3 linked regions of the Caenorhabditis elegans genome follow. The protein of the gene in region 1 interacts with the protein of each later gene in a pairwise test. Each region holds a gene or a part of one and is shown on either strand. Other genes may lie near its edges.

Region 1 (9,621 bases):
GACGGTTGAATTTATCAAAATCGATATCTTTTGGTTGCTCGGCGGTGGCTTCATCCAAATCTTCCTTTGTCATGTCAGCGTTTTTCTGAAAAAGGAATTGAGAAATTTAATTGTTTTTTCCGGCGTCAAACTAACCCCTTTGTTCTCCTTGACAAATTTCTCAAATTCTCTGATTCTTGCTTTCTTCTCCTCTTCAGTCTCATCCTCATCATTTCCTTCTTCCTCTTCCTCATCGCCTTCATCATCACTAAGTCCGTCAAACAGATTTGCTGGCATATATTCCTGATCAATTTCTACACCGAATTCTTTGAAACAAAACGCATTTCTTGGATTTTTCGGTTCATCCGTTATGGAGCCATCTGTTGCCGCTTTAGCACATTCGAGCTTGTGAGCAGGCCAGTCGATGACTTGATGAGCTTGAGAGCAATATCTGAAATTGTGACATATAAGGTGTGAACAAAATTTACCAGAATTTCGTCTTTCCGGCCAGAAATACTGTAACTGGTCTCGATACGACAAATTTTTGTTAAATGCACAAAAATGTGAGCGCCTTTAAGGGGTACTGTAATTATAAATTTGCTGAATTTTCATAGATTTTCCAAAGTTTTCCGAAGATATTTGTATTAATTTTTTTAAACTTTAACAAAATAATTATATTCGAGAGAAGAAATATTAAAAGTCAATAAAAATTCCGCAGCAAGAAAATTTTGGAATTATAAGCCTAATTAGAGTACTAATTAGAGTAGGCACACGCCTTTTTGCATTTAACGGAGAATTTTTTATTCTGGACGCAACATTTTTCGTATGGGTAACTTCTCTCACCTCGCCACTTGGCACTTGGCACATTTTTTCGCAGCGGAACATCCACAGATTCGACACAATCCGGGTCCATCAGCCGGTGCACGTGGATCAGCAACATCTCCATCCAAATCAGGATCCATTGGTCCATCAAATGAATAATAATCATTGGCACGTGGAAGTTGGCATCGGAAGGCTTTCAGATTTGCGGCATCATTTGTACGAGAGCAGGATGGATTACGGCAAACGAAGAGAAATAGAGAACGATGAAAAGCGTGTGGAGGATCATTTATACCTCCATTTGCTGATACTTGCATCAGGAAACACAGTGGTTTCTCGCAGACCTTAAATTTGGGAAATTATTTGGTGGACGGTTGTAGGAAGTTTTTTGTTGCTAATTTTGAAAAAATTATAATTTCAGCTAAAATTTTTAATTTTGCAAATATTTCCGTATTGCTGTTTTATTTTCCATATTTTTGTAGTAAAATAAAACAATGATCAAATAAAATTAATTTCTGAACGCTGCAATACGGAAAAGTTGGCAAAATTGAAGATTTAGCTAAAATTAGGTCAGTTTCAAAGTTCTGTTATAAAAAACCTACGTTGCACAACAAATCTGCGGATTTTGGAAGATTTTTTGGATTCAACCATGACGGTTTTCCTCCTATTTTTCCGAGTGGAAGAAATTGCGAACGTAGACGATACAGATCATCTGGCTCGAATTGAACTCCGAATCCCAAGTTTACTGGTTCATCTGAAAACGAGCTATTTTCATGCTGCAAACAAGATAAAGAGAACGGGCAGGAGACTTAGTGTGTATTTTCTTAAATTTATTGGTTAAGTCCGACTTGAAGAAATTTGTCAAAGAATTTAAATTTAAATATTTCGATTGATCAATATACAAGAAATAAGGCATTATTGATTGGGGAAAGTGAAACAGAAAAAATTGCCGAGAACCATGAATGTCGGTTTGCATTGTGTCTTCTAGTCTTGCTTGTTTTCACGCTTCTTGCGATCTTCTTGTTTGGTAGCAGCGAAGAGCCAGATACCCAAAACCACGTGGACGAGGACGACAGCAATGATCGCAGAATAGGTCAAAGCGTCGTTTGCACTGACACCCAGGAGCCCTGAAATAGGAGAGAAAATGGAATTTTATTCATTTTTCAAAAATTAAAAATAATCGGTAGAACAAGCTCTGTACCTTCGAAAAAGAATTGTTTCAAGAGGAACATAGAAGCAAGAGGAACGATGAGAATCACAAGACTATACGTGAGAAGGTTCTTGACAGCGGATTGGACTTCCTGATCACGAAAGTTCGGGAACAGAGTTGCCATTGTTGATGGTTCGGATGAAGAGGAAGTGGTCATTTCGCTGCAAACAACTCGGTATATCCATGGGTTTAAAATCAAATAATTATTATTGGAATAAAAAATAAGATTATTAAGGGGAGAATAGGTTCATACCAAGGTTTCTGGGAGAATCTTACCGAAAATTTGTTTTTTTTTAATTAAAAAAAATCCCGGATATCCCGAGTTGAATCCAGCGGCGCCAAAAGTAAAGGAAATCAAGAGATACAAAATTTGACAATTTCAAATTAAAATATAGTAAAGCGAAAACTACGCTTCAGAGAGAAAAATTCAATTAGTAAGGAAAAAATATAACAAAAAAAATTTATTCGTTATGTACAAAAGCATCTAGCCAGAGGCACTAATATAAATAGAACGGGTCGAAGTGATCACAAATAAGTAAACGAGGTCCAAACGGGAAGTGAATGTTCAGGAGGAATTTTTGAAGAAGATAATACACAGCCACGCTATTCTTTCTTTTTCTCTGCTCTGAGTTTGTCTTCGGCGTCTTTCTCTTCTTTCCATGCAATATAACAGAAAGCGGCAGCAATGAGAATTACGACCAAGGCAGCACATACTCCGGCATAAAGCATGGCTTCTGCTGGTGGTAAATGGAAGTGGTCTGAAACAAATTATCTATAAAATTGATTCTGGAAAAGTCCACTTACCGATGAATACCCAATAATACAAGCTTGCCATAACAAGCAGTGGAAGTGTGAACATCATTGCAGAAAATGCGATGAGCAGAGTTATAGCTCTATTCGAATGCTCTGCTGTGTAGAATTGTTCTTGATCGGGTCGAATCGGTGCTTTCAGTGCCTCTTCTACTAGGTCCTCACCGTCTTTCTCTTTCGGCCGATTTGCGTCGTCTTTAATTGACTGATCAACGAATGGAAGCTTCATCTCCTCTTCAACTTCATCATCTTCCTCTTTCGCCGATTTGTCAGCATTGTCATCCTCGTTTTCACTGACAGATTGACTACCTAAACTATTAATTCACTAAACAAAAAACATATATTTGTAAAATACCATTTTTCTTTTCATCAACAGCTTCAAAACTATCTGAAGTGCTGGATTTTCGTTCAGCTCCGTCGATCAGCTCGAAGTCTTGCTCCTGTTCTGGAGTATCGCTCATTCTGGAAAGATTTAAATACAACCGAGGAACCAGAAGAGCGCATGAAAATATAGAGCGTGTAATTTAACGTCAGTTATTGACAGAGAAAATAGAATTACGAAAGACCAAATCGGGCAACGAGGAAAACGTTTAACACAAACACAACACTGAAAATAAGCAAGAAAAGGAGGAAGTTATCGGAAAACCGAAGAACTTTCAACTTCGGAAAGAACCGTTTAATTTATGTTTAAAATCAAACAAAAAATTCCCGAAACATCCCTTTTAAACTTTGATTTTCACGAAAAACAACGAATGACCGAAAAATGTGATCAATCTCTGAGAGTGTGCACTTTTGCGTGACGGTGAACTGTCCGCGTGCACCAGATTCGACGCGCAAAATAATCGGCGCGAGGTTCGAACGAACGTTCGTGAATTTGTGGGAGCGGTTTTTAATGTTTAAAAATCAGTTTTGGTTTATTTTATTTGAAAAAAAAAACGATAAAAGCTATATTCCAGCAGTATCTAAAATGATCTTCTTTTAATATTCTAATTTTAATGTTTTAAAATTCATTTTTCGCTGCAGCAAAAAGTTGGTGTTTGCGTACAAAACCCGCGCCAGTCTTGAAAAACGCACGCATTATTTATTCACATGTTTCGCAATATTTCCATATGAACTTCTCAACATCACCAATTTAAATTAAGTTACAGGAATGCCGCCTAAAAAGGTATCTCCCGGGATTACCGTAATCCTTATCGACGCAGGATCCAATATGTCTGTGAAAGACACTGAAACTGGAAAAAGTGCATTTGAAAATGCGATCAATGCTGCAGATTGGATTGTTTCGAGAAAAGTGATACTAAAATTCGAGAAAACTTTCAAAGAAAAAATTGTTTTCAGCTATTTTCCAAAGATCCCGAGCTCTTCTCAGTGATGGCCTACAATTTGGATCCGAAAGAATACAAAACAGAAGTTGGCGGTCAAACATTTAATGGAGTCCAGTGTCAAAATGAAAAGTTTACACCAGCCAGCTTTGATCATTTAAAGTTTATCACAAAGGAATTGCAGCAAAATACAGAAATGATAGATCCAAATTGTGAGAGAATATCCAAGACAAATTCAAAAATCCTATTTATTTTTTTCAGTTTTCAAAGGTGTTCTGGGAGCCGTCGCAGTGCTAAAAGATCAAATCGAATCGTATCCGAATCCATCAGGAATCACGTTGATTGTACTGACAAATGGATTAAACGAGAACATTCGACAAGAAAATTTCGATCTTTTAGTTGAAGCCGTTAGTGAAAGTAATGCAGATTTGATGATAATGTAAGATTTTTCCATTTTAGCGTTGAAAAAAAAATACTTATTCCAGTGGAATCGATGAAAATCCAGAATATCCTGCTTCTCGAGTTGCAGAATTGGCAGAAACATTAGAAGGAAGAACATATACTTTTCAGTGAGTTTTTAAAAATAAAATTGGCGATTTTTGCGCCAAAAATACGGAATCTAGACACGCTTTTTGCGAAATGTTCATCGATTTTCCATAATTTTTCGTTAAAAAAAACTGAAATAATGGTTTTTAAAAACACATAAATATTATTTGAGAAATCTTTAAAAATTCCACAACAACGAAAATTTAAAATAACAGTACCCTTTAAAGGAACACGCTTGTTTGTATCTAACAATAATTGTCGTGTCAAGACCGGCTACCGTATTTTCGGCGCAAATACTATAACATTTCGCGCCTGGAGTAATATCATCATAATTACAATTTCCAGAAACGTCGCAAAGATGCTCTCCACCTTCCAGGCTCGTCAGAAATCCGAGAGAAAATACAATAAAATGTGGGATGTAAGAGTTTTTGAAGAAATCTAATCTAATACAATAAAAATAACGTTCAGATTGCTCCTGGAATCCATCTCCCGGTGATTTTTGCTCTAAAATCTGAAAAATCTACAGCACTACTCAAGTTCAAAAATGCAGATTCCGAAGGAAATGAAATGGTTCGATTGGAACAAATGCACGTGGAAACTGACGAAGTTGCTCCGAAAGATGAATTCAAATCGCCGGTTCTGGAAGAGAAACCGAAATTTCAGAAAAACTTTAAACCCGTTGAAAATATAAAAACTATGCATGGTAGTGAAATTCTAAATTTTTTAAAATCTATTATTAATGCGTCAGGCTACAATTTCGGAAAATCGGTTATCATGATGGACCCAGAATATCTTAAAGAAAAATACAATGATCATAATTTCAACGAGGGACAGACTGGTGGAGTGCTAAAACTGATACAGTTCACGAAAAGAGCAAATGTAAGATATGACATGGTCTCGCAACGACGGAGAATGTTAAATTAGAGGCGACGAAAAAAGGGTGTGCGCCTTTAAAGAGTACTGTAATTTCAAAATTTCGTTTCCGTTGAAATTTCATCGATTTTTCACAGTTATAACACGATATTTTGAAATTTGTATTTTAAAATAGACAAATCATGGTCATTTTTTTGAGAAAAAAACCGAAAAACTAATCACGAAATTTTACCAAAAAAATCTCATTTCAGATCCAGTTGTCACAATAATAATTCCGACCAAAAACAAATTTCTCCGAAAAAATCGGTGTCTTACCTCTCTTCTAAAATTAGCATTTTTGAAAAAAAAATAACGTTTTTTTTACTTTTTGGTTCAAAATCACAACAAAAGAAAGATAGCCATTCATAAATCGCAAAATTTCGCATCTCATAATTGTAATAATTATTTCTAGATTCTCGACTCATATCTCCTCGATGCCAGCGCGAAAACAGTACTTCCTGCTCTCAATTCACCAAAATCAGGTGCCACCAAAGCTACCGTATCCCTCATCGAAGCAATGCTTTCACTTCGAGTCGCTGCCATTTGTCGATACACATTCCATGCAAAATCTCATGTGCAACTCATTGCTCTTCTACCACATCAAGATGAAGAAACTGGCGTTTTCTATCTAAGATCAGTGAAATTACCATTTTCCGATGATATGAGAACATTGAAATTCCCGAAATTCTCATTTGACGAGGAAGATGAAGATTTGAATAAGCCTACTGGTATATATTCATTCAGACTTTTGAATTTAACAAAAAACTAATTAAATTTCAGTAGCTCAACTCTCCGCTGTAGATGACCTTATCGATTGTATGCAATTACAAGAAGATGAAATGTTTGAATTTCAGAAAAATATTGTCCAATAAAAAATTGTTTTCAGCTCTTCACTGGTCGAAGGTGGAATGAGTGATCCAAAATTGCAGATGCAATGCCATTTTCTCAAAAGTTTAGTTCTACATCCAAACGGTACATATTCTTGTGAATTCGGTTTAAATGAAATAATATTATTGTCATTTCAGATACCTTCGAAAATCATTCCAATCGAACCAATCAAATTCTCGATCAAATAATGGCACCGAAACGCAGAGTCGAAGCAGAACATCCGGAGATTTTCCAGAAGCTTGGCCGCGAATTCAATCTGCAACCAATTCAGAAAACCAAACGAGAACGGGTTACGGTAGAGCCTGAAGATCTGCAGACAATGATATCCGAATGGACGGAGAAAAAACAGAATATGACACAACCAGATGAGGTAGATGATGGTGCAAGTCAAAAGAAAAAGAAAAAACCAAATGCAAAGAAATTGACGAGAAAAGAAGAAGTTCAAATGGATATCATGGAAGATGGCGGAGCTAGTCGTGTTTGCTCGAAAATTCTTGAAATGATTTCAAATACTTGCAAATTTCAACCAAATGGAGCAGTTACTGAGTTCTTTACGGTATTTTCAAAAATAGATTTTCAAAATAAAACTTTAAATTTTAAATTTACAGCTTCTCGTCAATGAATTGAATGTTATTCGCTCAGTTTTCGTTGAAAACTCAAAATGTGACGAGTTCAATGAACTTCTCAAGAAGTTGAAAGACGAAGAAGACTTTGAACCATTTGCTGAAGTTCTTTCTGAAGGTACTACCATTTCATGTCCACTTTTCTGCCATTCCTCATTCAACAAATTTCAGAAAAATCATGCAATCCAATTGATTCTTCCGAAGTCAGCATGTCAGAAGTCTCCGTCGCCAATGCTGCCGAATTCTGGGAAGAAGATTGAGCATTTTTATTTTATTTTATGGCAATGTATCTCAAATAACTAACTACAATCATTTTAAAGCTGTGAATGAACTGAAATGAAAATAAAATCATACTACCGTATCATGGTGATCACCCAAAGAACGCTTTTTAATGTGAAAGTCAGCATTTTTTTTATTTAGTACGTACAGTGAGAGGAAAAAGTAGGGAAAAGCAAGATGTAGGCTCGTAGGTAGGCGAAAATGTGATGTACCCAAGTGTATCGGTAGGCAGACTGGTAACAATAACAGAGAAGTACTCAAACATCGATCTTAATGTCTACCGACTTGTGTGCATAATGCATGCCTATAGGTATACCTATGCACCTCCCACAGGTTTCAATGCCTAGTTTATCGCCTACATCTAGCCAATGTGCCTGCCTACTATCTTTGACGGAGTTTGTGCCACTAAAATGACGACTCAGGTATTCACAAATTTAAGAAACAAGTTCAGTTTATTCAAATCTTCAATTTCAAGTAATAGATCAAGTTCCGATGGAAGTTTTAATCTTTCTCCTTTTTTCACTTCTTCTCGTATGCTTCCAGTTTATCGAGTTGATCATCTGGGCTTCTATCGCCGGTTGTCTTCTCCCGCTCACTTGACACTTCCCAACCGATTTCCATCTCTCGTTTCTCAAGTCTTTTAATAATTGCCAGATTCTCCTCAGAATCAATATCAGAGAGTGGTTCGACTTCAGATCCAGACGAGAGGGCCACTTCATCTATAACAAGAGTATGACCAACAATTACAATAATAATAAAAAATACCTTTAACAGAAAGAGCAACTAGATTCTCATAGTTTCTAAAATGTTCTCTTTCCTCTTGATCCAAGTCTTCGAAAAACTCAACTTCAGAATCCTCTTCAGACTTCAGACTCCATTTGAACTTCCTCTTCTCTTCTCCTTCATCAGTTGCACACGTAGACGAAGTCCACGTGGATAACGATGTGGCAGACGTAGAATCATATGAGCCTGTCATTGCCGACTGTGTACCAGTAAAATCATGTCTCATTCCCAACAAAAACTCGCGGGTGATCAGTCCGCGGCTGACCTTTTTTCCTCTTCCCGGCTTCGGCTTCGGTGGTTCAGATAATTTCTGAAAATTATAAATTTTCAAAGACTCGTTTATATTATCGCGACGCAGAAACTATAGTTTTGAAATCAAAGTTGGTACGATTGCGCTCCAATGAAAACTCTGCTCACCGGAATTTATATATCGTTAGGTATTGGCGTCAAAAACGTAAATTAAAATTTTCTACTAAAAATTTGAATTTCCGGATTTGCCGCCAATAAATAGTTTCATATTGTCGTGGAGCGCAATTGCACGCACTTTGCTTTCAAACTGCGGCATTCTCTATTTACGTCTCGAGATGGATCCATAATACTTACACTCTTCTCTTCTTCAGTTTTGTTCTCCTTTCTATCCTGCTTCTGTTTCTCCGGATCACCTTTCGCTCGACCTTTTTTATTCTTGACAACATCGGAAGGAGTTGAACGTCTTTCGACACCAATCATCGCCTCCGTTGCACCATCATCATCCTTTTCACTCGACGGATTCCTTTCTGCGGATTTTTCCTTTCTCTCAGCTGATTTCCCAGCCTTCTTCGGTTTCTTTCTCCCATCAGATGAACTAGCTTCTGACATTGGCGAAGAGGTCTGTTCGGTGCAAGAAGATGTTTCAGCGCTTGACCTCTCACAAGAATCCTTCTTCTTCTCACTCTTTGATTTTCTTGCTGCTGCACTTTTCTGTTCATTCTCCTCATCCGATGCCTTCAAATTATCGTGATCCGATTCATCAGCTGCATGCCAATGACCTTCTACTAGATCAATCGCATTATTCGTGTAGAAATCTGGAGCTCTTCTAGTTTTCTTGACTTCTTCGAGTTCTTTCATTGTGTAAAGTCTTGGTTGTTCTTTGTCAGAATATTGCATAACATCCACCGAAAATATCAGATCTGAAATAAAAACATTAAATAATAAAAAAAATACTAAGCTGACACTTACTCATTTTCTCCATGAAAGTTTCATAGGTCAACTTTTTATTGGCTATGAAACAAGCAACCAGTGGAACAAAATCAGCACAACCATCATAGAGATAATTCACTGAAAAATAAACAATTATTGGCAGATTGTCAAACATTAGCTCTCACATGGATCATTGAAAAATACTTCTTTCAGTTTGAACATATTCTCTGCATCTCCGAACCATGGAAGCTTCTCGGCAGTGCACAGAAAT
Region 2 (6,737 bases), 1.0 Mb from region 1:
ATTTTTTTTTAAATCAGTAAAAAAAAAATTATCCTTTTCTAAATACCAATCTTTTTTTTTTCGAGTAGAATTTTCAAAAAAAAAAAAGGTTTTTTTTTAAATTTATGTTATTTCTAGTTAATTTTGTATTTAATTTTCGAATAAAGTCTATAAAACATGGATTTATTTCATATTTTCCATTACTAACCGGATCATTAGTAGATCTAACAGAAAATGCATCACTAGCAACACTTTCAGAGTCAGAAGGAATAGTTTCTAATGCAGATGAAATTGCATTTGGAATTGATTGAAGTAATGCAGCAAGTGTACTTTCATTTGAATGTATTGAATCTTCAGATGGTGAACGACGTCGACGATTTGATGGAGATTCAGTTGATGAAAGTCCGAGGCCTAGAAGATCAGCTTCAGGGATTTCAGACATTATTGCTGACGAGGATTCCTGGAAATTTATTGAGTCTCAGAGAGATTTTTACAAAATGTTTGACCATTTGTTTCTTATTTTTAGATGAAAATAACATGTTTTTCCTGTTTTATTGATAAAAATTGTGTGTTTAATTGAAAAACGTTTTTTCATTATTTTCCTGAAAATAGCTTAAATTTCAGACATTTTTCTAATTTTTCAGAAGAAAAAAAATTTTCTCATAAAAAATTTTTTTTTTTGCGAATTTATCGATTTTCGGGAAAACCGAATTTTTATTTTTCCGATTTTTTTGGAAAAAAATAGCTCAAATTTTGACATTTTTTTCTTTTTCAGAAAAAAATTATAAACATAATTTTATTTAAAAAAATTTAATTTTCGTATCAATTTTCTACATTTTTTAATTTTCGATATTCTCTGAATTTTTAAAATTCTTTTTTAAGAGAAACAGGATTTCCTCTTTTTTAAATTTTTCGACAAAAAAAGTCATTTTCGATCATTTTCGTAAAAATGTGACCATTTTCAACGAAATCTCTGATTTTTAATGGTTTTTCCCAATGAAAAAAAAAATATTTTTTGGTATTTTTTGAGTTTTCTTGTAAAAAACATGGAAAACATACAAAAATGTGATTTAGATGCGGAAAAAATATATTTTTTTTGCAATTAAATTGATGCAAAACTTCGAAAAAATGGCGAAAAATTTTAATAAAACCTTAAAATTCGTACATTTTAACGGTCTCACAGCTGCTGGAAATAGATTTTTATTTAAAAATCTCTTTGTTTCGCATATTTCTGCTGTTTTTGGTACATTTTTTGGATTCCGAACTAAATCTCACAAGAAATTGTTTTTCAACAGTAAAAATCCATTTTTCCGGAAATTTTCACGAAAATGGTTGGAAAATAATAGTTTTTCGACGATAAATTCAATTTTTCGAGAATTTTTCATGTTAAAACTCTCACAATAGAGGTATTTGCTGGATTTTCAGCTTTAGTTTCTCCTGATTCTCCGGTGAATCTTTTAGAAATCGACGCGGATGCATCACTGCCAGCAGGCTGCTCATTCTGCAATTTTATCGATTTTTTCTCAGTTTTCAGTGGATTTTTACCATCGCCTGCCGATATTGTCCAACTTGAGCGGCGAGTTGTTCTCCATACTGCTGAGCTGATTGTTTAAGCTTTCCGGCTTCATTATCCAGCCGGTTTTTCAGGTTTTTGAACATTTAAACCTGAAAAAATCGATTTTTTAGTGGGGAATTTGCAATAAAATCGAAAAAAAAAGTATTTTAAAGGTTAAAAACCATATTTTTAAGAAGAAAAAATCATGAAAAGTTGAAAAAAATTCATTTCAAAAAACAAAAACAGAAAAAATAACAAATTTTAATCAAATTAAGCCTGAGATCCGTTTGAGAGTTTTCTTTTCAATCCGTTTTCCTTCGATTTTCCCAGATTTTCACAAAGTTTGATAGTTTTCACGGACAAATCGATCATATCAACAGCGTTGGCAATGGATTTTGACAATGATTTCGGATCTTTTGATTCGATTTTTCTGAAAATTAACTTATTTATTTAGTTATTCGAATAGAAAAACTATTACATGACTACAAATTCGCCTTCGCTGCACACTTCCCGTCGAGCACCACTTCTTCTCGGCTCTTTATCGATTTTTATGACATCTGCCACGGTTCGAGCCGCTTCTTCTGTTCCGACGGATAATCGTACGCTTCTGGAATTAATCGGATTAGAAACTGCTGTTAGAACTTCAGAAAATGTTAATTTTGAAACAAAAACATTTAAAAAACAGTTTGTTTTTTGTGTTTTTTAGCGAAAAACTCACGCTGAGTGGATATATGCCGTGCTCGGAGAGCTTGGGTCACATTCGTCCTCTGAAGATGACGATGAGCTTGTGTCTACTTCCATTTTGTTGTTGTAATCACTAAAAAACACAATTTTGAAAGTTTCTGATGAAAAATCAATAAATTCGCTGAGAAAAGTGAATAATAAATGCTATTCCAGGCAAAATTGACATTTCAAAAACCGAAAAAGCCATAAAAAACGACGGAAAATATCAAAAATCCTGTTTTTCGCCTGAAAAACCGGTATTTTCCATGAATAATTGCCAACTCATGGTTAAAGGCGCGCGTGTCGATTTACGCAACGGGTCTCGCCACGGCGCAGGAATTTGAACTTTTTTCGAAATTTGCGAAGCTTGGCGCCCAATTTCTATTTATTTTAGACTGTTTCGCCATAGTTTTTCCGTATTTTTACGAAAAATAGCTGGAAAACATTTTTTGTGCGTTTAAAAGCATATTTTATACAGAAAAGACTAGTTTTAAAGGTAGGAAAGCCCTATTTTAAGCAGGGAAAGCGTTGGCGCGAAATTTCGAAATTCAAATCCCTGGCGCGAATTCTTTGAAGTATTGCTGCTAATTTTCAACTAAAGAGACCGCAGTATTCGTCTTTTTATCTCGCTTTAGCTTGAAGTCTCTTGAATTGTTTACCTGATATTTTTCATATTTCAGCTCTCCTTTCGCAATGAGCGATCAGAAGCCGGTAAGTGAATCTTTTCGAATGTTGCTCAACATGATTCACGGTATTTCAGAATATGGGGCGCATTGTCGCCAGCGTCGTGGATGTGCAGCAGTTGATGACAATGCAGTTTGACTCGCTTATCAAAAGCATGGACTCGTTGAAGGTATGCGATTCATGAAAAACTCAATTTAATACTTATTTTTCACAGATTGAGCACCAGACCGGCGTCACCCAGCTTCGCGATGATATTCGTCGATCCGAGGATCGGTTTCAGAAGCAGTTGTCCGATTTGAGCACTAATCACGGAAAAGAGCTCGAGAGACTTCATCAAATTATACACACTCTTCTTGCTCGTGATGCGAATCCTCTCGGCTCAATGATTCCTCCACAGCAGCTTCAGCAACAACAGCAAATGTTGATTCTTCAGCGACAAATGGAGATGGCTCATGTGCAGGCAGCACAAGCTCAAGCTCATGCTCACGCTCAAGCTCAAGCCCAAGCACAGGCCCAAAGCCAAGTTATGGCTAATTTGCTCAATGCTGCGAAGCCAGCTATTCCCGTTACACAGCCACTGGTCGCCACTACAGCACAAGCAAAATCGACAGTTCCAGCTTCTGGAGTTATTGCACCAAAGGTAACAAATTTTCGGGTTTTAGTTCCAGCAATTAAAAATTCAATATTTTTCAGACATCTCCACCAGAAGTTGTAATTCCACCTGCTAAGCCAACATTCTCTACTCCAACGCCTGCAGTTGTTCCAAAGCCAGCCACCACCGGATTCTCATTCGGCGGGACCAATCCAGCTACTTCAATCTTCGGTAAAAAGCCTGAAACTGCTTCCCCAGTCGTGGTTCCAGCAGCTAAAGATGATGAAGACGAAGAACATGATGAGGATTACGAGCCAGAGGGCGAGTTCAAGCCAGTCATTCCACTGCCAGATCTTGTCGAGGTGAAAACTGGAGAAGAAGGAGAGCAAACCATGTTCTGCAATCGTTCAAAACTCTACATTTATGCCAACGAGACGAAGGAATGGAAGGAGCGAGGAACCGGCGAGCTGAAGGTTCTCTACAACAAGGACAAGAAGTCGTGGAGAGTTGTTATGCGACGAGACCAGGTGACCATTTCGGAGGAGACACTCCCTTCAAATATTGAGAATGGAACCGAAGAATTGTGTTGGAATATTCAGGTTATTCCAATTACAGCTTTTTTCACATTTTTCGGCGTTTTCCTCAACAGAAAGATCTTAATTTAAATTTAAATACCTTAATTTAGCATTAAAATAAATTACAGGTTCTCAAAGTCTGTGCCAATTTCCCAATTCTCGGCTCGATGACCATTCAACAAATGAAATCCAACGAGAAGGCCTACACATGGTTCTGCGAGGACTTTTCCGAAGATCAGCCAGCTCACGTGAAGCTTTCCGCTCGTTTCGCTAACGTCGATATCGCTGGAGAGTTTAAGACTTTGTTCGAGAAGGCTGTCGCTGAGGCAAAATCATCGAGCAACGCTGGAAAGACCATCGACAAGGAAATCAAGCCGGCGGCTGAGGTGAAGAAGGAAGTCAAGCAAGAAGTTGTGATTCCATCAAACAACAAACCGGAAGAGACTGGATTTGGAGATCAGTTCAAGCCAAAACCAGGATCTTGGGAATGCCCTGGATGCTATGTTACTTGCAAAGCTGACGAGATTGAATGTGCCTGTTGTGGGACATCGAAAGACGGATCTGTCAAAGAGAAAAATATATTCTCTAAGTAAATATTCTATTTGAGTTATCTTAAAATTAAAAATTTAAATTTGCAGACCTTCGATCCTCCAGCCTGCCCCAGGAACTCCAAAAGTGACATTCGGATTCGGAGCATCTGCTCCAGCCAAGGAACCTCTTGCTCAAACATCTCAGTTCGGTGGATCACTCAGCGGATCTCCAAGCACTAGCAGTAGCATTTTCGGTGGTGGAACACCAAAGGGAACAAGCGTTTTCGGTGGAGGTGCTGCTAATACTCCAACTTTCTCATTCAACAAGCCAGCTGCCGCTGTCAATGCAACTACCCCATCGTTCAATTTCAACAATCCTGCAGCTTCAACTGCTTCTCCGGCAACCTCTACGACTCCAGGAAATTCATTGTTCGGAGGTGGACTCTCCAAGACTGAATCTACAGCTTCTTCAACTACTACTCCGTCGTTTATGTTCGCCAAGAATTCTGAAAGTGCCTTCCCAAAGCCAACTTTCTCATTCGGAAAGCAACAGACTCCATCAACGACTGCACCAGCTAAACAAGAAGAAAATAAACAGTCCGAGACGCCAAAATCCGTGTTCGGTAGTGGATTCACGTCTGGAGGTGCAACATTCGCTGCCCTTTCAGCCAACTCTGCCAAATCTGGCTCCATTTTCGACGCAGCAAATGTCAAGAAGGCCCAAGAAGAACTTGCTGCTCAGAAGAAGGCAAGCATTTTCGGGAGCAAGAACACCACGTTGAACACGACTTCTGCAACTTCACACGATGGTGATGAGACGAATGAGGATGGAGATGGGGAGTATGAGCCAGAAGTCGAGTTTAAGCCAGTTATTCCTCTTCCGGATTTGGTTGAGGTGAAAACTGGTGAAGAGGACGAGGAGGTCATGTTCTCCGCCAGATGCAAGCTTTATAAGTACTATTCGGATCTCAAGGAGAATAAGGAACGTGGACTCGGAGATATTAAGGTCAGATTTAGGATTTTATATCAAAATGAGCCAGCTTGGCATGTTCTTTTGATAGTTTTCATTAAAATTTAGTGATAAAACGTAGAAAATAACTTATTTCAGTTGAAACAGTTAAGAAAAGTGCTAGTTTTGCGCACTTTTCAACTGTTTTGCAAGTATTTTCTATGTTTTTTCACTAAATTTTAATGAAAACTATTAAGAAAACAACTGATTTTTGACTCATAGAGGCTAAATTTGAGAAAAATAATTTATTATTTCAGCTCCTGAAAAGCAATGACAACAAATATCGAATCGTGATGCGTCGTGAGCAAGTCCATAAGCTCTGTGCCAATTTCCGTATCGAAAAGTCGATGAAGCTCAGTCCGAAGCCAAACTTGCCAAATGTGCTCACATTTATGTGCCAGGTAGCAATTTTTAATTTCTTTTTATATAAAAATGTACTATAAATTCCTTATTTTTCAGGACTTCTCAGAAGACGCCTCCAACGCTGATCCAGCCATCTTCACCGCCAAATTCAAGGACGAGGCGACCGCCGGAGCATTCAAGACGGCTGTTCAGGATGCTCAATCGAAGATGTAATCCTCTGCTGATTATTTAAATTATTTTATTATTGTTATTCCTCCCCACCCAGCACTCTGTGTTAGTATTCCCCACCACCAATTTTATTTATGAACCTAGTTTTATTCATCCCCATCTGCTGTCATCTATAGTCCTTTAAGTGTAGTTTATATTTGTCTGGTAAGGTTTTTAAAAAAATAATTTCCTTATTTCCCCCCCATCTCTCTCAAAATCCCATTGTTCTCATAAGTACCCCCCACACACTATCATTCATAATTTTTGTCTTTAAAACTTAACTATATTGTTCACATTGTCCCGGCATCGATTTTTCCCCACTGGTGACAATCCAATAAATTGTGAATGCATTGAAGAATGAGATTTATTTTGAGGGCGGGAAACAAATAAATAGGGATTAGGAAAAAAAAGAAATAAATTATCGTTTTATTTGATCATCAAGATGGGTGATATCTGAGAAGACGAGAACTTTCGATGGAATTGTACGCTGTGGGCAGAGAATTGACATTGTTCGCTTCTC
Region 3 (7,975 bases), on another chromosome or scaffold:
TTCCAGAACTTGAAGCAAGACGTTGAAAACAATATTTATTATTTTTTCCTTATGTTCCGGGTTCAGCCATATTAAAAAGAAAAATTGAGTTGTTGTCTATTTTGGGGGCTTGTTTTTAGGCTTTCTTAGACGTAATTTTTCAAATAACCAGGCTGTAAATATTTTTTAAATTGCAAACTACGCTTTTTCCGAATTTTTATGAAATTTTTATCAAACATTTTCTAAAATATTTTTGTCTTTAGTTCAAAATAATATCAGAACTTTGAGGAGAAAAAAATATAATAAAATTATCAGTTTTTTTCAACTAGATTTTTGAATAATACTGGCCATGAAAAAATGCTCGAAATTCGAAAAGTTTTTATCGAAAAAACCATCTGAAATTTGATTGCACAAAAATATTTTTCATCATGGTTTACAATAGGGGTGCTCGGCAAATTCGGCAGATTTGCCGCACACCCCTGTTTTACACGCTCCTCAAAGATTATCCCCCTTATTAATAAATACAACCTCGAAAATTGTGAAAAAGAGTTCTGAAAATTTATAATTTTTTAAATTTTTTAAATATTTTAAATGCTCCAGGTGCAGTCAAAAGCCGTTCTGAAAATTTATAATAAATTTTGAATAGGCTCGGCAAACCAATTTCGCTCCCCTCCTCCGCCGGCCTTTCCCACAAAAAGCACGTGAAAATTTTTTTTGATTTCTGGCTTTGTGCTTCCTGTTGTTTTCTTTCAATTGAGCACACAAGTTCCCATGGGGGGTTAACACAAAAATTATGTCTATCTCTGGACAAAAATGCACATGTACATACAAGTATTTGAACAGCCGCGTGTTTACATTTCGAAGCTTTACCCTCCGGTCTCCCTCCCCCTCTTCCAATCCGCTGTTGCCCTCTCCCCCCCCCCCCCCCCGCTCTTCCACTAAACCATAGATCTAATTTCGCACTATGTTGAATGAGGTGTCTCATCGCTTTCATGTTTCGAAATGTTTATTTTCTGCAGATTTTTTTTTCTTTTTTTAATTCCTTTCCTCAAAATTCCTATTTGCCATTCTTGTGTGATTCACGAGCTTATCAGTTTCATCGGCTTATCAAAATTCATCGAAACTGTCAAATAAATACCCGCGGGAAAAATTTTTCTCAAACATAGATCGCATTTCATTTTTGATTTTGCTTTTTTTTCGCTTTGGAGTTTTGTGGAGTTTAGAGCTTTGTAGCTCTGTAACTTGTAAAACTTTTAAATACTATATTTCAATTTTTTAAATTTGCTAGTATGCAAAACGCCAAATTTTTGAAAACGCCAAAGACAAATTTCAAAAAGAAATTTCAAAAAGTTTTAAAAATTTTCGTTTTCTAGAATCTCCATAACATTGTGATTTTTGTTTCATTTTTTGTAAATCTAAATAAAATTTAATTTTTTCAAACTCTTTTGAAACAATTTTTCATAGTTTTGGCATTTATTTCCAATTTCTAGTACCAATTTTTTTGAAATTTTTTTAAATTCTCCAATTTACAATTTTTTCAGAGTCCCAATAATTTAAAAACACAATTTAACCCCTCTAATTTATAATCTGAAAACCAAAAACAATAAAGAAAAAAGCAATCAGAAAAGAAAATTAAAAAACACATCAGGTTGTGCTCGGTGCTCTCATTACATCACTCCCCCTTCTCCTCCCACCGCCCTGCGGCCATTTTCTGCTCTTGATCTCTGTTTCTGGAGCAAGAAGAGCAAGAAAATAAAAAAGAAGAAGAAGTCAGCGACAAAAGGATGGAGCATGCGGAAATGGCACAGAGAAGAGAATAAAAATATGAAGAGAATAAAAATGACAAAGAAGCACTTGATGGGAGATCACTTTTTAGACACCCCCTCAAGAGAAAATATATGTAATATATAATTTAGGATAATCTGATAAGGGAAAATAAGTCTTTGAACTTGTATTCAAGACATCTCTGAAAAAAGATATAGTTTGGGGTTTCAAATAGAAAGTAATTTTTAACAAGGGTTTTAATATAATTAAGTGTCAGTTTTGTGAACATCTGTTCAATTTTGGCTCACTCGCAAAAAATACGTAAAAGCTGAAAAAAGAGCAAAAAATGTTTTCAGGTTATTTCAATCGAAATCCCAATTTGTTGAGTACTTGAGATTATCCAAAAATTTAAATATGCATATGCCACAATGTCACAACTTTTCCAAAAAATTTCCATAAATTCCAACGTGCATTCCAGTGTTCCGTGTTCCTCTTCCATCAATTTCCGAGATCAAAAGATATATGAAAAGCTCTTTCTCTCTCTCACGGCTTCTGACTCCTCTCACCACTAAACTCGATAATCTCCGAACCACGTGTCGGGCTATAAAATAGTTGAATACTTCGAGTTGCAATAGAATTTGCTTGATTTTCGCTTGTTTTTCGATTCTTAAAGTTTGAACATTAAGTGGGAATCAGGATTTTTTTGGAGGGTCAAATTTCTTCAATTTCCATGTTTGCTGATCAAGCTTCTCATTGATGTTTGAGAAAATGAACATTTCTCTTTTTAGAATTTTCCAGTCTTGAACTTTCATGTGAGACCTAATTTATTTAGTTTTTGAGGTACGGTCATGAAAACTCAGGCTCATAGGTTTTTTAGGATTTGGAATCAAATGGCATCAGCAGAATTCTTCTAAAAAATTCAGACGTGCCCACATGCATAAATTTAGGGGGTGGCGTATAGAACTTGTACGCACTGTATGATTCTGATACATTTTTGCGGTTTTAGACTCAAACTATATGTCCAACAATTATTGAAAATCGTTGATGTTTTCAGAGCTTCAATATTTTCTAAGAAATATTAATAATTTCTTACTCTAAACCTAACTCCGCATTTTCTCCCTCCTTCCCCTACCCACTCACATTCCTAGAACCCTTCTTTGTTTGGTTTCAAAGTGAGAAAAAAAGCGCGAAGAAGAATAAGAGGAGACAAAAACCCTAGGTATTTCTACTTTTCACTCCATTTTACTCAAAACTGCTCCTAGGACGTCATCTTCTTTTTTCCACCAGTCTTCTTTTTTTCTAACACTCATCATTTTGCACTTCATGTTGAGCAGTAGTCGTGAGAATTTTCAAGTTTTCCCGAGCAGCTTTTCCTGAGAAATTGCATGCAGGTGCAGTGGTTTGAGTTGTGTTTTGTAAATGTGTTGTGAATGTAGGTAGGTGTCAATGAGGAAATTGTTGTATGAACTTGAAAAATCAAGTTTTGAAATTAGCTGGCAAAATGAAAAAAATTTTGAGAAGCTGAAATTTTTGGTTTTTGATATTTAAAAATACAAAGTTATTTTCTAAACTTTGAGAGAATACATTTTCAGTTTTAATGCCCAAAATGAACTAGGTTATCACAAAAAATTTAACCAGCCATAACTGACTCTAAATTTTGATGAGAAATAATTTTAATTTACATTTTCGCAGTGTTCAAAGCTCGTAAAGTAGCTCCAAATTTTGATCATATGCTTAAAAAAAAGATAACTTTTTGAAAAAAAATTGCAAATCTTTAGGCGATGAAACTGTTTACCCGTTTTTAAAAAAATAAAATTATATCTGTACTCAATTACTACAAAAAAAATTTTACCAAAAATCGTCATGAAACAATTTCCTCCATGACTTAAAAAGCACAAGCACAAAAGTTCTTATTTTTAAGTTTAAAGCTTAGTTCATGATTCTTAGGTACTCGAGAAAGACGGAAAAAGAGGGGACAAGGACCTCTTAGCTTCCCGCGTCTCCTAAAAAAGCATTGATCATCTTCTGGACGGCATCGTGGGCAATAACAAAACAACATCTTTCCCGTCGTTCCACAACACAGAGCTACACACAGACGATGTCATCTTCAGCTGGAGACGAAGAAGATGCGTCGCTTTTCCAGAGGCTTGTCAAAAAATTTCGTTCGTATTTTTTCCAACTATTTTGCTCCTACATATTTGTCCACAAAATATACAAAACAAAACTCTTCGAAATTTTCGTTGTGAAGTGTAGAGAGCTAAGCAACTAGGAAGTAGAAAACCAGCACAAAAAAAGAAGAAGCGTCTCTACACAATATTTTCATTTCCATCCTTCAGCTTTCTTATTCAATTTTATCTTCAGCAGTACCCACCAGGCCCCGCCTATTTCGGCATGCCTCCACTCTTTTTATTCCTTTCCCAAATGTTCTTCTTTTTTTTTCAATTTTCAGTGACACTCTTGAGTTGAAATACTTGAAAAAAAAATGTGGAAAATTGTGGTTTGAACCGGAAGTCTTATCTTTCTTTGCCCTTTTCCACGTTTTTGCTAATAAAATTGAATCTCAAATTGCAGAACTCTCTTATCACATTTTCTGCTCCACATCAAAGAGAGTGTCTCCAACAAAGATGACAGGGCACTGGAGCTACTGCGATGATGATGAGTGTGGTAAGTTGACTCAAATTAGCTGTTTTTTGAACTCAAAACTTAACTGAGTGTCTCGAAAATTAGTTATGCTCAGTAGCATTTATCTACTCAGTAAAAGGAATAAATGATCAAAAATTAAATTATATTGATAATTTCACCCTATAACATGGACTGCTACATATAAACATTTTCAGTTCAGTAATAACTCTGTGAAACTGAGAAGTATTAGAATGTCCAAATTCGCAAAAACACGTGGTTTCAGAGTGCCCAATATTGGTTTGATCTTCGAAAAATGCGGGAGAACGGATGCAGACTTTTCAACTGATTTTGCATGGTTAAGAGTGTGCTGACGTCACACTTTCCTGGCGGAAAAACTCCCGCATTTTTTATAGATCAAACCGCAACGAGACAGTCTGACACCACGTGCAAAGAAAAACATAACGATTGAGTTATTTCTCGAAAAAAGTATTGTATTAATAACAAATGGTATTAAATTTAATTCCAGGACCCAATCGCTGGCCCACTGGACAGCATCAATCCCCAATCAACATTGATTTGGGAGAGGTTGAACGTAAGGATACCCATGATGGAATCAAGTTTGTCAATTATGATCATCCTATTCAAGGAGATATTGTGAACAATGGACATTCTGGTAACTAATTTTTCAAAATAACTCAGCTTAACTTTACTTATTCCAGTTCAAATGACCCCGGAGCTGCGATCGGAACACCCAGAAATCTACGGCGGCGGCCTTGATCAGGTCTACCGCCTCGTGCAATACCACTTCCATTGGGGAGAGAATGACAACGAGGGATCCGAGCACACGCTGGGTGGGCTCCGCTATCCGGCCGAGCTTCATCTCGTCCACCAGGGAGTTGAAGACCCCGGCAAGCTAGCCGTTGTTGGTGTTTTTCTTCAACTTGGAAAAGAGGGAAAGGCGTTGTCGAATGAGGAGCGTGTTTTGGGAAAACTTTGCAATCCGGAGACAGTGACTCGTGTGGAGAATGTTAGGCTTTCCGAGAAGCTGCCAGCAAACAAGAGGTCGTTCTGGAGGTAAGATCAAGGAATCTTAGCTGAATATTCTTATACTAAATTGAATCGGAACAGGGAAACCTTTTAAAGGTTTTGCGTGACTGATGTCAGCTATTAATATGATTATTTGATCTCAACATAGTTTATCCAACCTGAAATATATAATGAAGCCAGAGATCAAATGCTCAAATCTCACACTTTTCAATTACTCCTGATTCATAGTCACATTTGAAGTCAGTGCCTGAACAGTTTATGCAGGTGCAATAGCATAATATTTCAGACGATCTAACAAACATATTTCCAGTCGCATTCATTGTTTGATTTTCAGATACGAAGGATCTCTCACCACCCCGCCATGCTCGGAAATCGTCACCTGGACCATCTTCACCGAGCCAGTCACCGTCACCCACGATCAACTTGAGTTGTTCCGTCAGGTCCAGGACATCGAGAAGCGTCCCATCAAGAAAAACTACCGTCCGACTCAAAATTTGAATGATCGCAAAATCGTTCACATTGTAGCTAATTAGAATTTTCCCAGAAAAAAGTTTTTTTTTCATTTTTCAAATTTAATACCGATACAAAAATGCCAAACAAAAACTTCATGGTCCCAAGCAACTTTTGTCAAAAATCCCCGTTTTCCTCTGATTTCAACACTTCAAGCCAGCCCGATGTCTATTTTTCTTATGTAGTAATTCGCAATTTCTGCCAAATCATTGCAATATTCTAGTTACTCTGACACGAAACCCATGGGTTCCCACTCCACCTACAATTCCAACTTTGTTAACAACATTGAATAAATTTTTAGAATTTTTTGTTCATCAATTTTTCAATAAAAAGTGTGGGGTGTGACGTCACGAAGAGGAAGTAGTTGTGTTGTGCAAAATAGGGTCGTATGAGCTCAAGGGGTGACGGAACGAAATGGAATTTTGGAAAGATGTGTTATCGGTTTTTTCAGGGAGGGGTTTAATTAGTTTTTTGTCACTTTTTCATTTTGCAGGCTTTTTTTCTGTGGAAAAAAACAAACAAGTTACAGAGAAAAAAGGGTATTTCAAAATAAAATATTAAAATGTTGCAACATTTCGCTTTTAAATAACGGATGATGAGAAAAGGCTGAATTTTTGTTTTTGCTGCTCAGATCAAACCACTGCGTCTCGGCGTATAAAAGCGTCCGTTTTGCCAAAAATAATTTTTTAACACAGTGAAGCTTTTCAGTAAGGTGTCGAAACTATCACATTTGAAAACCATTGTTTGAGGAAATGTATAAAAACTACGTTGAATTCATATTTTTTACGAAACAAATTTCTATTTTTTTCAAATCTGTGAAGAATTTAGTTCAGAGGTTAACGTTTTATTAAACTGTTTTTTAAGAACTTAACAATTTTTCAGCGTTTACATGCCAAAAACAGTTTAAAAAAACACAAAAACCACATATGAAATGCATTACGTGGTGCCAGACTGTTCCATTACGGTTTGATCTACAAAAATTGCGGGAATTTTTTGCCCAAAAAATGTGACATCAGCACGCTCTTAACCATGCAAAATCAGTCGAGAAGTCTGCGTCTCTTTTCCAGCATTTCTCGAAGATCTACGTAGAACAAACCAAAATGGGACACTTTGACACAACGTGATGCCCCACTTCTATTTGGGCTGGGGTCTGTTTTGACCTGAGATTCCCTGTTACAGTCCGTGTGTGGCTACAGTTTGACATAGGAACTTCTGCAAATCTAGATAAAGTTTTTTTTTCAAGTTTGAACGAAATGCTCAATTTCTTCAGTCAAGACGCAGCTTTTGCTATTGTGAAAAGTGTTAGCCTCATTGCTACCCAACCAACAAAAATCTACAAAATCATTCACCAGTAATCCTTTCTAAAATACTTGAACTCAACACAGACTCTTTCCAATTTGATGTTAGTCCATGTTCGACTTTACGTGATAACTTTTTTTTCCAAAAAGCGAGTGTTTATAAATTTTCCAAAAGTTTTTTTTAACAATGAGACTGTGGGATGCCCTGAACGTTCTAAAATTGATCAAAGATCAAATACCTCAACTGTGGCTTTATTTCAGTTTTAAAATTACTTGAAGTTATAAATCCCTTGTAAAATTCGGATTGTTCAGAAATTGAAAGGTAGGTCGATTGTAGTTTCTTTGAAAAAAAAAGAAGCCCATTCACTTGACATTTTATTGAAAACGAGTTAAATTACATGTATATGAAGTACCGAATACTTACAATAAGTACAGGGTGAGCCATAATTATGGGGGACATGGTTGCGGGTAAACAACTGCCTACCTTGGATTTAACAAAAAATGAGCACATATATTGTTTCTTATACATTTGAAGCAAACTAGTATAACGTTTTAATTTTACATGATACCTTCCAATTTACTGAAAAACGAGCATCCAAAATTTGTGTTCAGCCGGTTTGAAAACATGTATATTGAAAATAATATCAGTTTTTGTGTAGCGTCAGTAAGGAAGTTTTTTTTGAAAACGTTCATGTGTTGCTAAAAATCAGATATTGTAGTGAACTTATCGGAAAAGGTGAGAACTTGTCAGAATC

Evidence for each region. Proteins that work in one complex are often made in the same cells at the same time.
Region 2: the proteins of cku-80 (region 1) and F59A2.5 interact in a two-hybrid assay, tested with the Caenorhabditis elegans proteins (2 studies listed by BioGRID).
Region 3: the proteins of cku-80 (region 1) and cah-3 interact in a two-hybrid assay, tested with the Caenorhabditis elegans proteins (2 studies listed by BioGRID).

Annotation. Positions count from the first base shown.
Region 1 is NC_003281.10:4,415,888-4,425,508, forward strand, and holds cku-80 (ATP-dependent DNA helicase II subunit 2), read left to right. Parts: upstream 1-3,960; 5' UTR 3,961-3,968; coding exon 3,969-4,109; intron 4,110-4,156; coding exon 4,157-4,352; intron 4,353-4,401; coding exon 4,402-4,579; intron 4,580-4,625; coding exon 4,626-4,709; intron 4,710-5,031; coding exon 5,032-5,104; intron 5,105-5,154; coding exon 5,155-5,389; intron 5,390-5,434; coding exon 5,435-5,565; intron 5,566-6,010; coding exon 6,011-6,326; intron 6,327-6,378; coding exon 6,379-6,439; intron 6,440-6,484; coding exon 6,485-6,570; intron 6,571-6,623; coding exon 6,624-7,042; intron 7,043-7,094; coding exon 7,095-7,227; intron 7,228-7,280; coding exon 7,281-7,369; 3' UTR 7,370-7,488; downstream 7,489-9,621. Other genes in the region: pdcd-2 (MYND-type domain-containing protein), read right to left, coding at 1-85, 136-430, 823-1,142, 1,401-1,552, 1,756-1,774; R07E5.19 (Vacuolar ATPase assembly integral membrane protein VMA21 homolog), read right to left, coding at 1,783-1,925, 2,000-2,165; R07E5.7 (vacuolar ATPase assembly integral membrane protein VMA21), read right to left, coding at 2,612-2,766, 2,813-3,127, 3,174-3,279; C28A5.6 (Protein kinase domain-containing protein), read right to left, coding at 7,908-8,107, 8,154-8,481, 8,775-9,340, 9,390-9,488, 9,536-9,621.
Region 2 is NC_003281.10:3,400,477-3,407,213, reverse strand, and holds F59A2.5 (L antigen family member 3), read right to left. Parts: upstream 2,352-6,737; 5' UTR 2,336-2,351; coding exon 2,253-2,335; intron 2,142-2,252; coding exon 2,013-2,141; intron 1,965-2,012; coding exon 1,805-1,964; 3' UTR 1,745-1,804; downstream 1-1,744. Other genes in the region: golg-4 (GRIP domain-containing protein), read right to left, coding at 188-439, 1,379-1,480, 1,525-1,638; npp-9 (Nuclear Pore complex Protein), read left to right, coding at 2,951-2,968, 3,018-3,110, 3,156-3,581, 3,635-4,132, 4,237-4,697, 4,747-5,644, 5,905-6,048, 6,107-6,223; Protein clpf-1, read right to left, coding at 6,636-6,737.
Region 3 is NC_003284.9:16,483,167-16,491,141, forward strand, and holds cah-3 (Putative carbonic anhydrase 3), read left to right. Parts: upstream 1-4,314; 5' UTR 4,315-4,367; coding exon 4,368-4,407; intron 4,408-4,891; coding exon 4,892-5,038; intron 5,039-5,084; coding exon 5,085-5,439; intron 5,440-5,746; coding exon 5,747-5,945; 3' UTR 5,946-6,231; downstream 6,232-7,975. UniProt on the Caenorhabditis elegans protein: Reversible hydration of carbon dioxide.